2 linked regions of the Tamandua tetradactyla genome follow. The protein of the gene in region 1 interacts with the protein of each later gene in a pairwise test. Links are inferred from orthologs where the notes say so. Each region holds a gene or a part of one and is shown in the gene's direction. Other genes may lie near its edges.

What was found. The genes of interacting proteins can lie anywhere in the genome.
Region 2: the proteins of PKNOX1 (region 1) and PBX2 interact in binary tests that used the Homo sapiens proteins (3 or more experiments, as listed by UniProt). The link is inferred for Tamandua tetradactyla from reciprocal best matches to the Homo sapiens genes PKNOX1 and PBX2.

The regions. Positions count from the first base shown.
Region 1 is NC_135336.1:100,391,448-100,398,803, forward strand, and holds the start of PKNOX1 (homeobox protein PKNOX1), read left to right. Parts: upstream 1-4,296; 5' UTR 4,297-4,425; intron 4,426-5,266; exon of another isoform or gene 5,267-7,356. UniProt on the Homo sapiens protein: Activates transcription in the presence of PBX1A and HOXA1.
Region 2 is NC_135331.1:87,699,952-87,706,879, reverse strand, and holds the start of PBX2 (pre-B-cell leukemia transcription factor 2), read left to right. Parts: upstream 1-3,827; 5' UTR 3,828-4,130; coding exon 4,131-4,351; intron 4,352-5,314; coding exon 5,315-5,388; intron 5,389-5,613; coding exon 5,614-5,861; intron 5,862-5,967; coding exon 5,968-6,158; intron 6,159-6,333; coding exon 6,334-6,469; intron 6,470-6,593; coding exon 6,594-6,747; intron 6,748-6,928. Other genes in the region: NOTCH4 (neurogenic locus notch homolog protein 4), read left to right, coding at 1,604-1,617; GPSM3 (G-protein-signaling modulator 3), read left to right, coding at 1,607-1,648, 1,825-1,933, 2,153-2,352, 2,554-2,691. UniProt on the Homo sapiens protein: Transcriptional activator that binds the sequence 5'-ATCAATCAA-3'. Activates transcription of PF4 in complex with MEIS1.

The DNA.
Region 1 (7,356 bases):
ATGCTGTCCGGAACAGCTCTGTCAGCTGGGAAGTCATGTGGCTGGCATCTGCTGGTCCCTTGCTTCTGGGCTCTGTTGCTTTCAGTCTCTGTCCATGTGGGGGTCTCCACTTTGCTTCCCTGGGGCTGGCTTTCAACTCTTGGTTTCCCTTGGCTCTCTGCAGGTTCTGGCTGGCTTAACATTTCATGGGAAAACACACGGCAATGTTTGCTAGGCTCCAAGCATCTCTAAACATCCGTGTCTCTGCTCTCTCTGTTGACCCTAAAGCTTCTGTTGGCTCTCTCTGTTGTTTTTGTCATTTCATGAAGTTTCTCCGGGGATATTTTCTTTCTTCATCTCCAAAGGTCTCTCCTGCATGGGCTCTGTTGGTTCTGGTGACTCTGAAGCTTTTTCCAAAATGGTTCCCTCTTTAAGGGTTCCAGTAAGCAACTGTACCTTGAATGGGTAGAAAGGAGACACATCTCCATGGAAACCGTCTAATCAAAGGTCACCACCCACAACTGGGTGGGTCATATCTCCATGGAAACAATAAAAAAGATCCTACCCAACAATATTGAATGAGGATTATTAAAGAACATGGCTATTCTGGCGTCCACAACAGATTCAAACCGGCACACGTGCTTTGATCAAAGCGCAGGACCTCTTTTCCCTGACAGTCCTGCCTGGTCAGCTGTGCTTCTAGGTTAGGATTTCCTCAACCACTAGGCCCCAAGATCCTGTAGGAAATTTGGAATACACATACAAAAAATAGTACTAAGTGTGTCCAGTGGGCAAGTAGGCATTCTTCTGCTTCTTCTGTGGTATATATATATGGTAACATATATACAAACTAACATTTCCCACTTTAACTTCTTTCAAGTACACAATTCAGTGACCATAATTATCTTCACGATGTGCCACCATCACCACCCTCCATTCCCCAAACATTTCCGTCCCCCAGAGAGGGGAACCCCACAGTCCTGAGTGCTCACTCTTCTGGGGTCTCCGATTGTAGCCCTTCATTGACTTTGGAGAGAAATGAGGATAATGCAAATCATTTTTGTCTGTGGACATGCAAATGGGTTCTGAATGGAGGAGGGACAAGCTCTGGCCCCAGCCTCACCAACCCTCCCACCCAAAGGCCAGTTTTGCACAATTGGCAAGTGCATGCCAATATTCCTGATCCATAAATCTTATTGTTCTTTGCATTCTCCTTTAAGTCGGCTCCAACAGCTTCCTGTTCCCTCATTTAATTAATGAATTCATTAAAATTCATGCCATGTGTTCATTTTATATCTGTATGGGAGGCATGACTTCTTTTTTAACTGTCTTTTAACATGGATAAACCTCACATCTGGCTGCACTGCCATTTCCCTGCTGCACTCTGATGGGGTCCTTGGGGAAGCGAAGCTGACGGCATTAGCTGCCTTGACCCCCAAGGGTCTACTGGGCCCTGGGTGCTTACCACCCGCCACTTCCTTTCCTCCGCCACGCAATCCCATGATAGCCGCACTATCACTATTTGAAGATGGAGGAAACTGGAGCTCAGTAACCAGCAAAGCCAGGCTCTCTTGACATTCAGGACTTTTGACTCCAGGCCCAAGGCTCTTCTGGCTCCATCACAACTGCCTCTTTTACACAGCAGAAAAAAACGCCACCTGTGGTGGGCAGGCTGTGGGACGGGCCCCCAGGGCCCTCTCTCCCTGGCACTCACGCTCTCAGCAATCCTTCCCCCTGCATGTGGGCGGGACCTGGGACTTGCTGCTAACCCTCAGGATACAGAGAAAGGATGGGGTGTCACTTCTGTGATTACATAAGCTTGTCCCTTACGTCCTGCCAGCTGCAGAGTGTGGAGGCCGCGTGGCTGGGCCTCAGAATGGCCAGCGGCCTGGGGGAAACGAGGCCGCAGTCCAGTGGCCGCAGGACCTGACCCCTGCCCATGGGTGAGCCTGGAAACAGATTCGTTTTCACCCTGCCCGGCTGACGCTTTGTCTGTGGCCTGATGGGGATACCCTGTGGCTGAGCGCCCGGCTAAGCCATGCCCTGATCTCAAGCCAGAGAAGCCATGAGATCACAGTGTAAGTCGTTCCAGGCCGCTAAGTTTGTGGCCATTTGTTACACAGCATTATTAGTTCCCTAGCACTTGTAGTAGCACTAGTTGTACCCACCATGTCCTAGAAAGGTTACTTCAGCTAAGGAAAGAGAGAGAGAGAGAAAAAAAAAGCCATGGGAAGCAAAAAGTTGAAATCAATGAAACTCGAAAAAGTAGAGAGAGAGCAGCCACGGCCACTGGGTGCCGTGTCACATGGCACAAGAGACAAGAAGGCCTATCAGTGGGTCTTCAGGAAGAAGGCATCACTTTGATATGGCTTGATCTGAACTTTCTTTTAGCCTCAAAATCATAAGCAAATAAATTCCCATATCCTGGTGTTTGCTTGAGAAGCCTAGAAAACTACAGTGAGTATCTTCTGAGAAAGCGATACTGGTACCAAGGCTATGGGGAGGTGGGAGGGTGCCCTGAGGTGCCGTTGGGAAGAGTGTTTCGGGTGAGGGAACAGCAAGCCTGGTGTGACCAAGGAGCAGCAAGGCAAGTGGTGGCTGCAGCAGAGCCGGCCAGGGACAGGGCAGCTGGGGTTGAGCTACTATGGCAAAATGAAAAGTTGGCAAGTCTAATTTAAGCTTTGGGTCATTCATAAGATTCCCTGGGTTGCTCTTTGGATAGGTCATATTTTTAAAAGGATCATCCACCCCACTCATGGCTCATGACTTCCTGTCCCCACACACCTCTGCAAACCCAAGCAGTTTAGCTAACCAAAGTGGTTGCCTTGAAAACCAGGCCCAAACCCTTACTTTTACATGGCTGTCTTGCTCATTTTTCTTATCCACGCCCCTCCAGCTCCTCACCCACCTTAAGAACAACCACAGCCATGCCCTCCCCCAGCCCCTCCCGCCTCTCCAGCTGGCCAAGCAGCATGTAGGGAATTTGGCCAGGTCTGGGTCACAGCCTGCTTTCCGGACTGCGGTCACCTGCGTTGGGTACGGTCCAGTCTCTCCTTTTCTTTAGACCCCCAACACCTGGGACAGGCCGGGCCCAGAGCGGGTGCTCCCTCGCCAAGGCTGGCACTAGGCAACAGTCACTTCTTGTGCCCCTCAAGGCGTCTCCGCCTCTTTGCCTGCCTACCCTCCACGACCCGCGCGGTGCCCGTCCTGTTTGGCCCACCGGGCAGGCTCAACTGGCCCAGCACAGGTAGGATTGGAATCCCTCTCTGGTGAGGCAAGGGCTGGAAATATCAGGATAAATATAGGAGCACAAAGATGTGACTGCTCATCTCTAGATGAAATCACGTCAATGAGCTCTGGAAACCCGTTTTGCAAATCTAAGTGCCGAGACAGTTCTTTTAGCCCTATAATTTGTACCTAGTGCAACTGATGAGAGGCAGAATTCTACGCGCCTAGTCCCACCGACAATTACACACGGCCTTTTAATTCACACACCTGAACACGGTCCTCGGGGAAAGAGTAACAGATCTTTGGTAGAAACTCGGCGGAAAGCAGGAGGAATGGCTGGCTACTTAAACGAAAATATGCAAAGAAGATGTGTTTGGGTTTTTTCTTCGAAGCTCCCGCGCCTTGGGGATAGACGGCGTTCCCGGCCCGGGACCCTTGAGCCCCCGGGCCTGCGTGGGCCGAGGCTAGTCCGCAGGCCCGCACGACCTCCGCCCCGGCCCCGGCCCCGGGCTCCGCAGCAGCGCGCACGTGCTCACTCCGACGGCCCCGACTCCGGCGCAGGCGCGCGGCCTCCGAGACCGGAAAGGGCCGCGGGGTGCGGGACCCAGCCCAGGTCCCCAGCGCACAGCGGGCCCGGACAGACGCGTCGGTCTGCGGAGGCTCAGAGGGCGGGCCGGGAACACTACCGGCCGCCCGCGGTCCAGCCCTGGCCCCTCCCCGACCGCGGAAGATAGTCTCGCCCATCTGCGCCCCGCCCGCCGCTCTCGGCCGGGCAGCAACTACGAGCTGCGGTGGCAGGCAAAGGGGCGCGGCACGCTCTGGAGGCCACGCCCTCATCTGCATAGTCATGACGGGTATCTCCGCCTTCGGGGAGGGGCGGGCCTTCCCGCGCGCCCGCTCGGCCGGAGGGGGCGTGGCCCGGCTGCAGCGCGAGTTGGGGTGGGGCCGGCGCCGACCAGGCCCCCGGCGCGCTCTCCGCCCCTTCAGCGCAGGCCCCGCCCCCGCCCGCCGTCTGGCAGGGCGCGGGGCGGGGCGCGTCGCTGGAAGGCCCCGCCCCCTCTGTGAATATTGATGCTGCGCGCGTCGGCGTCGCCCTCCTCCCATTGAGCGAGGCTGTGTCGCGTGGCCCGGCGTCGGCGTGACGGTTGGACGCGGGCGCGGCACTGCGGGTCCCGATTGCTGCAGCCGCTTGTCAGTGTGATGAAGATTGGCACCCAGGTAAGCTGTCACTCAACCGCTCCGCCGCCGCCGCCGCCGCTCGCCGCCGCCGCCGTCCCTATCAATCACACCGGCCGCCGCCGCCCCGCCGCCCCGCCGCCACCCGACGCCTGGCTGTCGGCGGGGCGGGACGCCAAGCAGGCCCCCGCACTTGACCCGCCGCCCCGGGGCAGGGGCGAGGGGGGCGCGGTGGGGGAGGGGTGCGGGCGGCGGCGGGGCGGGGGCGCCGTCCACGCCGGGACCCACTCGGGGTCGCGCCGAGTTTGTTTTTAAGTGAGGGTTGAGGTGGGAGGAAATTTCTGGAAGGCGCCGCCACGCTGGGCCCGCTGCGAGGCGCGCCCTCCTAACCGTCCCCTTCGGAGCGCGGCGCGCGCCCCTGCGGGGGTGGAAGGGCGGTGCACGGGGGCGCGCCAGGCGCGGGCGGCGCGCGGGGGCGCGCGGGCTGGGCGGGCCTGGCTGAGAGGCCCGCGGGGGCGCGCGCCGGCCCGGGCCTGGGTGTAGGCGGGTCGCGAGCCTCGCGGTCCCCGTAGCGGTGGGGGGGGGTCGCGGGCTCGCGCGCGGGTGGGGGCGGGAAGATGGCGGCCGCCGGGCGGAGGTCGGGACGCATCCCCGCGGTGCCTCTCTCCTTGCAGCCCCCCTCCTCGCAGCCCTCCTCTCCTCGCAGGGCCCTTCCCCCTCGTAGGTCGCCTCCTCTCAGCTTCCCCCCTGCTCCCCCTCCCCTCGCGTCCCACCCTGGCCTGCGGCCCTGGGAGCGCGCGGAATGCAGCCCGCGGCCACCGCCGGGTCCGAGCGTTTTCGGGGCGCGGGGTGGTGCACGGGGGTCGCACTGGGGGCTGTCCCGCCGGAGCGTCGGGCTGGTCTTGTGGAATTAGTTACAGAGGTGTGAGGCGCGGCGTCAGTTTGGGGTGGATGACCGCAGGGTCCGGAGTGGCCTGGCCGAGCGGCTCGCGGGCGTTCCTTTAGGGAGGAATCGTGAGTCACCTGAAAAGGCTTGAGAAGCTCGAGTCTGCTTTCTGTCCTCCCGCGGGCTCCTGGAATGCCGGTTCCTGATGGTGCCCGAGACCCGCTGGGAGGCCCTCTGTGATGCTTGGCCCCTGCGGAGGCCGGTCGGAAGGGAGTGCGTGTTCGGTGCATGGGCGCAGGCTTGCAGCGCTCCAGAATAGATTTGTCACATGTAAGAGCAGCTTAACGTAGTTATTTAGAGTATAAGCATTCGTTGATTTATGAGAGTGACCGAATTTCCTTAGGAAGGGGTTGCTTTCCCCCTTACGGTAGTTAAGTGTAACTTTAGGGGCTTTCGCTAAATATTAGAGCAAGAATTGAGGTCAACTGTACGTTTGCCAGTGTAGATCTCGGTAATGTCCTGAATCTCAGGTAGGTACAGTGGTCTGGACGAGGCAGGCTGCCTCCGATCTGCCCCCCCACCCATTTTACTATTTTTCCTGAATTTGCTTACGGTGGGGGGTGATATCTGGCTCGCTTATTTCATTGAGTCTGCCACTCAAAGAGACAATGAGTCTCTTGTGTATGCAGCTAGAATGATACCGCTGACAGTGCTTTCCTTTGAAGGAGCCCCACAAAATTTCGGAGATTTAAGTGTTTTGGAATTGATGAATCATGGTGGGTGAAAGATGACTTGCGTTTTAAGCTTGTGATTTAACAGACTAGTTGTTAATGACACCAGGGCCAAAGTGTTTTTTTGAGATTCCTTTCCTCTGTTTTATAGATATTTTAAACCCAGGCACTGTATTGTAACTGTTTAGAATAGTATTACATATGAATAGTAGCTTTCTACTTACAACGTTCACTTTTGTTGCATAATTGCATTTGAAACATTAGAAAAGGAAAGGCCTGAAACTGCTAAAGTGATGCAAAGTGTGCCCCCTGGGGTGTCCTAAACTTTACTTCTCCCTCCCACCTCCCTCAGGCTTCTTTCTGTCTCTTCAGAGAAACACTAAAATGAAAAGGATCAAGAAGGAAGCTACTTACCACTGAAAAATACAGTTACCAAAATATTGGAAAACACATTGGTGATAAATTACTGTACCGTGCTCTTTATTAACTCACCAAGTGACAAGATCCAGTAGCAGATCTGATAATTTTGGAGTTTGATGAGCATAACTGATATTTTGAAATTTCTGAAACAACTTAATGTTTTATGAAAATGCCTGTGATTTCTCTTAGGGGAAGAGTCCCAGGTCCTCCTAAAGCTGTGGCATTTACGGTCTGCGTTTGTAATTGGAGAACACAGCCTTTCAGCTGGCATTTAGTGCACACAGACAGCTGATAGTTTTTCTCATTCCAGGTCACAGATACCAAGTAAAGAGCCCCTGCACTATAAGTCTATTTACTCATGGGAAATGTAGGTGCCCTTCTCTTTTATCTTCCTCAAACGAGTAGAATAGTTGCACAGATGGTACAGGTGACCATGGCAGGTGTGGGAGTAGCAGTAGGCACGTGGGGTTCCCCAATGGTGACTACTCTGGGTTTTGCAAAAACTCTAAGAAGGCCCTCAAGGTGGTAATATACTTTAGAAAAAGTTCATTTGGTGGACATTGTAAAACATTTCGGGGCAGGGAGCGTCAGTCCTTTGATGGAATTAGCCAGCAGGCCTGGCTACGATTGCTGGCCCAGGGCCTTGCTTTTCTTTCTGTCAGATGAGCCTCAGTATACCTACCCTGTTGGCCTGCCATCCTGGTCCTGCTGGTCGGAGCACCCAGCCTGCCGCCTGCCTTCAGCAAACAGCCCCTTGTTTCTGAGGTTTAAAGTGATGGTTTCTGGAAAATCCACAGCACGAAATTAAGCAAATGTATAGTCTGAAATGGCTTAAAATTCCTGTTTCCCTGAAGTACTGGTTCACAGAACACAGCTCAGGGACTTTGGAAGGGGCAGAAACAGTGTTTCAGTCTTAGCCATTTTATATGTAGCAGG
Region 2 (6,928 bases), on another chromosome or scaffold:
TCCACTGCAGGGATGAAGCACCACTCTTCTTGCCACCACTATAAGAGCCCCAAATTGCCACCTCACATTAAAGCTGACTTAAAGTGTTACTTTTTTTCTTTTTGGAGGGGTTGGGGAGTGGAGTGGGAAAAATGCAGGAGTGACTGTATAGTATTTTCCGAATTTTGTGCCCTTAGCTCAACATTTGGATGAGAGCTTTGGGTACAGTTAAAGAGCAAGAATAAGTAGATTTGGGAGTCCCGTGTTAATTTAGGGTATTCACTGAAAGCAAGAAGCTTTAGTATACCAGTGAGAACCCATACACATGCTAGACCATGCCCTTCGTCCTTTACGTTTAGTGATGGCCACCTAAGACCTCAGGTTAAATAGAGGGAGAGGGAGATAGCACCTTAAAGAAACTTTACTCACCTTTCAGCAATGTGGCTACACGTCTTTAATGGTGATGAGCCAGATACATGGAGATATAAGGCATTTTGAAAACTAATAATAATACCCCTTACTGAGCACTCAGTATGTGCCAAGCTTCATCAAATTTAATCTCCACATCAACTCTATAAGGTAGGGGCCATGAAAACCCCATATTTCTCATAACAGACACAGATAGGTTATATACCTACAATTGCAGAGTAGTATCTGGCAGAACCAGATATCCCCACATCTCATGTTTTAAGTCACTCAACTTAAGTCTCCTATCATGGCAGGTTGCCATTTAGAGACCCCAAATATCTGTCTGCTCCTGTCTCATGCCACCTAGCCTGACCAGCATTGACCAAGGCCAAGCAAGGGTAGTGATCTCTCCTTTCCATTTTTATTCATGACCAGAACAAAGTTTGCCCTGCCCCTTCCCTTGTCTGCACTAAACTGTGAGCTGCCAGAGTGAACTCTCTCTCATTCTCTATTTGGTGCACATCTTGTCTCCTGAAGTGACTGTAAGCACCTTGAGGGCAGGGGTATTTATTGAATACTTACCGTGTGTTGTATTCAGTGCTGGCGTGTTACGGGCTTGAGGGCCCGACATTCCTGGGTCTAAATCCTCTACTTCCCAGTGGGACTGTGCCACTCCTGGTCCCATTAGGTCCAAGAAATGCATGGGGAGGACCTAATCCTAGAGGAGGGTAGGACCTGGTGTGTGTTGGGGGAGGGGGGTTTCTGAGGAGTGAAACCACTTCCTGTATAGCTAGTTCCTGTGTTGACAGTGTTGACAGAAAGAGCTGAAGGGGAGGTACTGGTAGAGGGACAGAGCTAGGAGTTGGGGAGGAGGGGTTCTGAGTCTTTGGGGATGAGACCAGAAGTCCTTCCCCCACTATAAATCCCCACTCCACTCCTGTAGCTGGAGGCGCTTTCCCTGGACTCAGTGCTCCCCTGAGGAAAGAGAGGTCGAGCAAGCTGTTTGAGTGGGAAAGGAGAACTGGAGGAAGTTGACAGGGATGGGCGGGGCCCATGGGGGGTGCTGACCAGGAACCCAGCTGCCTGTTCATAACCCAGGCATCCAATCCCCAGCTCACCCCCACCCCTTCCAGCCCCCACTCCTCTCTGGAATCCAGGGTCCCAGCCCGCCTCCCAAATCCCAGCCACCCCTCCCCCATCAGTTTCTCCCCTCCAGGGGATGGAGGCTGAGAGACTCCAGGAAGAAGAAGATGGTGAGCAGGTGAGCTGGGCCCTGTGTGGGGGAGGCTGACACTGGGGGAGAAGGGAGGTGAGAGGACCTGGGACAGAAGGAACAGGAATGGAGACCCAAAGAGAGGAAATGGGCCGCCAGCCTAGCCCCCTGCCCACCCCACCCCTTCCACCCAACCCTGCTTGACTGGAACGGACATCTCTCAGCATCAGGACTCCCCCCAAGATGAGCAGGGCTGGCCCCCTCTGAGCACCACCAGTCGGCCCTGGCGATCTGCTCCTCCGTCCCCTCCTCCTTCAGGGACCCGGCACACAGGTACCTCCAGCCTCCCAGGGAGCCTCCCAGCCCTGGTGCCCACATTCTCCCTGACCCCATTACCAAGACTCACTCCAACCTGGGCTCTCCCCCTGCCTCCTCCTGACTCCCTATCATACCCCCTCAGCTCTGATCCCGAGTCCCTAAGCACCTCACGCTGTGCCCCCAGCCCATCTGCCGACCCCTCTGGTCTCTCAGCCCTCCCTCTCCTCTCCCTAGCCATGGGGCCCCGCTCGGCCTCCCTGCTCTCCCTGCAGACGGAACACCTTCTGGACCTGGTGGCTGAGGCCCAGTCCCGCCGCCTAGAGGAGCAGAGGGCCACCTTCCACGCCCCCCTGAAAACTCCAACCTCAGCCCAGGCTCTGCCCCGGCCACTTGAGGACAGAGAACAGCTCTACAGCACCATCCTCAGTCACCAGGTGAGACACCCCCAGGAGGCAAGACCCAAGCCTCCTGGATCCTTGGCCTCTGTTCACTTTCGGGTCCCATCTTCCTTCTCCCCAGGCATCTGCCTTATCGCCAAGTCCCTAGCTCCCCCCAAACCATCCCCAGCACAGGTGTCCTATATGCCCAGCACAGCCTTGGCACCTCTTAAGGCCCCCCCCCCCCCACTCCTCCAGTGTCAGCGGATGGAAGCCCAGCGGTCAGAGCCTCCCCTCCCCCCAGGGGGGCAGGAGCTCCTGGAGTTGCTGCTGAGGGTTCAGGGTGGAGGTCGAATGGAGGAACAAAGGTCCCGGCCACCCACCCACACCTGCTGAGACTGTGGACCCCAACAGCCCCCTTCACACTCCCGGGGCACAAACCTGGTCAGCCCACTGCATGCCCTCGACCCTGCTTGGCAGGGGCACCAGAGACTGAAAGGCCCTCAATATTCATCCGTCTCATCCACCTTCCCTCAGAACTGGAGGGGGTGAAAGTTCTCAAACCCTGGGAACAGGAGAAAGGCAAGGTAGGATGGTCATTTAACTCTTCCCCAAGCACAAGGAAGCTTGAGGCAGTGAGAAGATCCCGGCCAAGGAAAACCCACCCCCTCTTCTCATGTGGCGAGAGCTGTGGGGACACCCCAGTGGTGGAGCTACTAGGCAGGGTTTGAGAGCTCAGGCTTCCACCTCCCAAGGCAAACCTTGTGACCGGAGAGACGGCGCTGCCCTCCTTCCCAGCAAGAAGAAAGGGAGGGTGGATGGGCCTGGGAAAGAGAGATTAAGCTTGTTCTCCCACCCCCACCGCTATCACCCTCCAGCCCAAGGACTGAGGGGCCTACAGGCTGTGAATGGACCATTAGCCCTGCCCACCCTCTCTCCCCGCTGCTGCTCTGAGTCTGATGTTTTGGTTGTGTGAATAAATGTAATTCCCTTCTGGACTGAAGACTGGTGTTTGAGGGGCCCGGGTGGGGGGTGAAAAGGTGAGGTCAGAGGCTGTCTCCTTCTCCCAGTTTGGCCAGAAGCCAGCTCCCCTCCCTGGCTGGTTAATTACTGGCTCATTAAGCAGCGACTGGAGACCTCCCTAATTATCCCCCCCACCCCCCCACCCGCTCCTGGTTTTAATTAAGTAGAACAGGGAGGGGAGTCATTAGGACAAGAAATATGTACTGAGCTGTCTGTGAACCCAGGCATTCCGGCGGTCAGAGACCCCATCACCCAGAACCCTGACTCAGAACCTAGATGGTAGGACCCCAGCCCGCGACACGCCCCCCTCCCAGGCCACAGAAAAACCCAGGCTTCCCCCCCACTGGGACAGTCTCCTCCCCTCCAGCCCTCGTCCCTCTCCCCTCCTCCACTCGGTCTCAGTTCCTCGGTTTCTGTGTTTCTCCGCCCCCAGCTCCTCCCTGTTCCTCTTCTCTTCTCCCCTCCTCTTCCTCCCTGACTCCCCTCCCCCAGCCTCCCTCCTTCCCTCCCCCCTCCTCCCTCCTCCCTCCCTCTCTCTCTCTCTCTCACACACACACCCCCGCTTGGGCCTCCTCTCTCTCTCCGGCTCCATTTTCTCCGCCGCCGGGGGCCGGGGTCTCCTGTGGGGACCCAGCCGGTACCCCAGGTCTCCCTTCAGGGCCGGGGTGAACCCCCGGGGGAGCCCGGAGGGCGGGGGAGACGGGTGGGGGTGGGGGCGGAGGGAACAGCGGCCCCAGCGAGTTTGGGGGGGAAGTAACCAGGCGGGGGGGAGGGGCAGAGCAGGGAGGGGGCCCCAGGGGCCCCCCCCAGCTATGGACGAGCGGCTGCTGGGGCCGCCCCCTCCAGGCGGAGCCCGGGGGGGCCTGGGATTGGTGGGTGGGGAGCCCGGGGGCCCCGGCGAGCCTCCCGGTGGCGGAGACCCCGGTGGGGGCAGCGGGGGGGTCCCGGGAGGCCGAGGGAAGCAAGACATCGGGGACATTCTGCAGCAGATAATGACCATCACCGACCAGAGCCTGGACGAGGCCCAGGCCAAGTGAGTGCCCCCACCCCGGGACCCTACACAGACCCAGCAGGACCCCCATTCACAAGCTCTGAATCTTCTGGGAACCCCCTAACTCCAAGACCCTCACCGGAATCCTACAGCTCTCTTCTCTCCTTACTCCCAGGAGCCCCGAGATAAGTGATCCCTCTTAAACGTCCCTTCACCCCCAGACCCTGAAACCTCCACAGAGGGAACCCCAGATGATCTCACCACCATCCCCACCCCTACAACCTCTCACTGACCCCCACACTCCCCTGGAATATCCTTATCATCCCCCTGAACCTACTTCTGGCTCCTAGGCTGAAAAACTGCTCCCTGGCAATGTTGTCCTCTTTCCTAACTCTCCACCCAGCCCACCCCCACTTTCTTCAGACGTGGGGACCTTTGCACCCCTCTCCAGAGCTCCTAACACTCTCCTCTGCTCAGTCGAACACTAGGTGCATCAAATCCCCCCACCTCTCACCCCGCTCTGCTCAGTCCCGGGACCTATACACATACACCTATGTTGAACTCCCCACTTCAGCTTGGCATCCCCCAACCCCTCTCTGACACCCTTAAACTCTGACTCTTCTCCAACCCATCCTGCATCTCTCTTCCCCTAAAGTCTATGCTCGTTTGTCCAGTGATCCCCCAAACTCCTACTCCAAACTCTTCCTCGAATCATCTTCCAAAGCCCCCAGCCCACCCATAGCTTCTCGAGCTTCTTGCGCTTGCTTACATCTTCCCCTTATCTTCCTGAAGCCAAACAGCTGCCCCATATCTCCATGCTCTCCCAACTCCACACACACACACCCCACCTGCCCCAAACCCACTTCTGTCTCCCTTCTTAGAGATTTATCCACCTCTCTCCCTTAGTTCCCAGGCTCCCCTTTCTCACCCTCAGGTCCCCTGCTATTTCTGTAGCTCTTCAACTTTTCTCTCTCATTTCCCCCCCCCCCCCACATTCCTCCCAAGGAAACACGCCCTAAACTGCCATCGAATGAAGCCTGCCCTCTTTAGCGTCCTGTGTGAAATCAAGGAGAAAACCGGTATGTGGTCCCCTGTGACTGCTCAACTCTGGGGACAGGACCCTGTTCATTATAGGATTCTGGCTAAGACCTTGACAACTTGGGGACCTTGAGGAAAGTGGGGACTTGGGGAGGTTGCTAGAGAGGGGACCAAAGCCTGGAAATTGGGTTTCCTGGAGGCACCAGGAAGGCTGAGAGCTGGGTGTGGGGTCCATAGGTCCCTAAATCCACTTCTCTGCATGTTAGGGCTCAGCATCCGGAGCTCCCAAGAGGAGGAGCCTGTGGACCCACAGTTGATGCGCTTGGACAACATGCTTCTGGCAGAGGGTGTGGCTGGGCCAGAGAAAGGGGGCGGTTCAGCGGCAGCAGCTGCAGCCGCTGCAGCCTCCGGGGGTGGCGTGTCCCCTGACAACTCCATCGAGCACTCAGACTATCGCAGCAAACTTGCCCAGATTCGCCACATCTACCACTCGGAGCTGGAGAAGTATGAGCAGGTGAAGAGAGGAGGCTGGGATGGGTGGAGGGAGAGGCTCGGGGTTTGGGGGACGAGTCCTGTGGCCAGAGGGCTCCTCCTCACCAGTCCAGTGGCCCCCACTGCAGGCGTGTAACGAGTTCACGACCCACGTGATGAACCTGCTGAGGGAGCAGAGCCGCACACGCCCTGTGGCACCCAAGGAGATGGAGCGCATGGTGAGCATCATCCACCGGAAGTTCAGCGCCATCCAGATGCAGCTCAAGCAGAGCACCTGTGAGGCCGTCATGATCCTGCGCTCCCGCTTTCTGGATGCCAGGTGGGACCCAGGGGACCAGGCCAGGCTTTAGGTCTGGGCTCCTTCCCATGCCTCTCTGGGACCTTGGGCCATCACGTTGCACAACGCTGTACCCAAGAGGGTGCCCCGAGAGTCGTACAACATGGCGACCCCGCCAGACCAGCACCTCCTCACCACCCTTCTCCCTCCCCTGTAGGCGGAAACGCCGTAACTTCAGCAAACAGGCCACCGAGGTCCTAAATGAATATTTCTACTCCCACCTGAGTAACCCGTATCCCAGTGAGGAGGCCAAGGAGGAGCTTGCCAAGAAGTGTGGCATCACTGTCTCTCAGGTATTGCGGGTGGCCTGGGGAGAGGGAGTTTTCGGATGAAAAGGTCTCAGATCCCATTAAAAGAGGAGCTTCAGAGGGAAAGATTTCCCCCAACCCTTTCTTATTTCTACCCAATATCCCGCAGGTCTCCAACTGGTTTGGCAACAAGCGGATTCGCTATAAGAAAAATATTGGAAAGTTCCAAGAGGAGGCAAACATCTATGCCGTCAAGACTGCCGTGTCAGTCACCCAGGGGGGCCACAGCCGCACCAGCTCCCCGACACCCCCATCCTCCGCAGGTGGATCCCGCCACCACTCTGCCTAGCTGTTTTGCACACTTCCTGCTTTTGTTCCCACTTCCTACTAGGCAGAATCATAGTAGAGAGAGGGGCCTTTTGGGGTGAGAGGAAACAAGCTGAGACGGAATGGGGATGTCAGGGGACAGAGGCCACCCCAGTGAAGTTACTTCTGCCTTTCTTC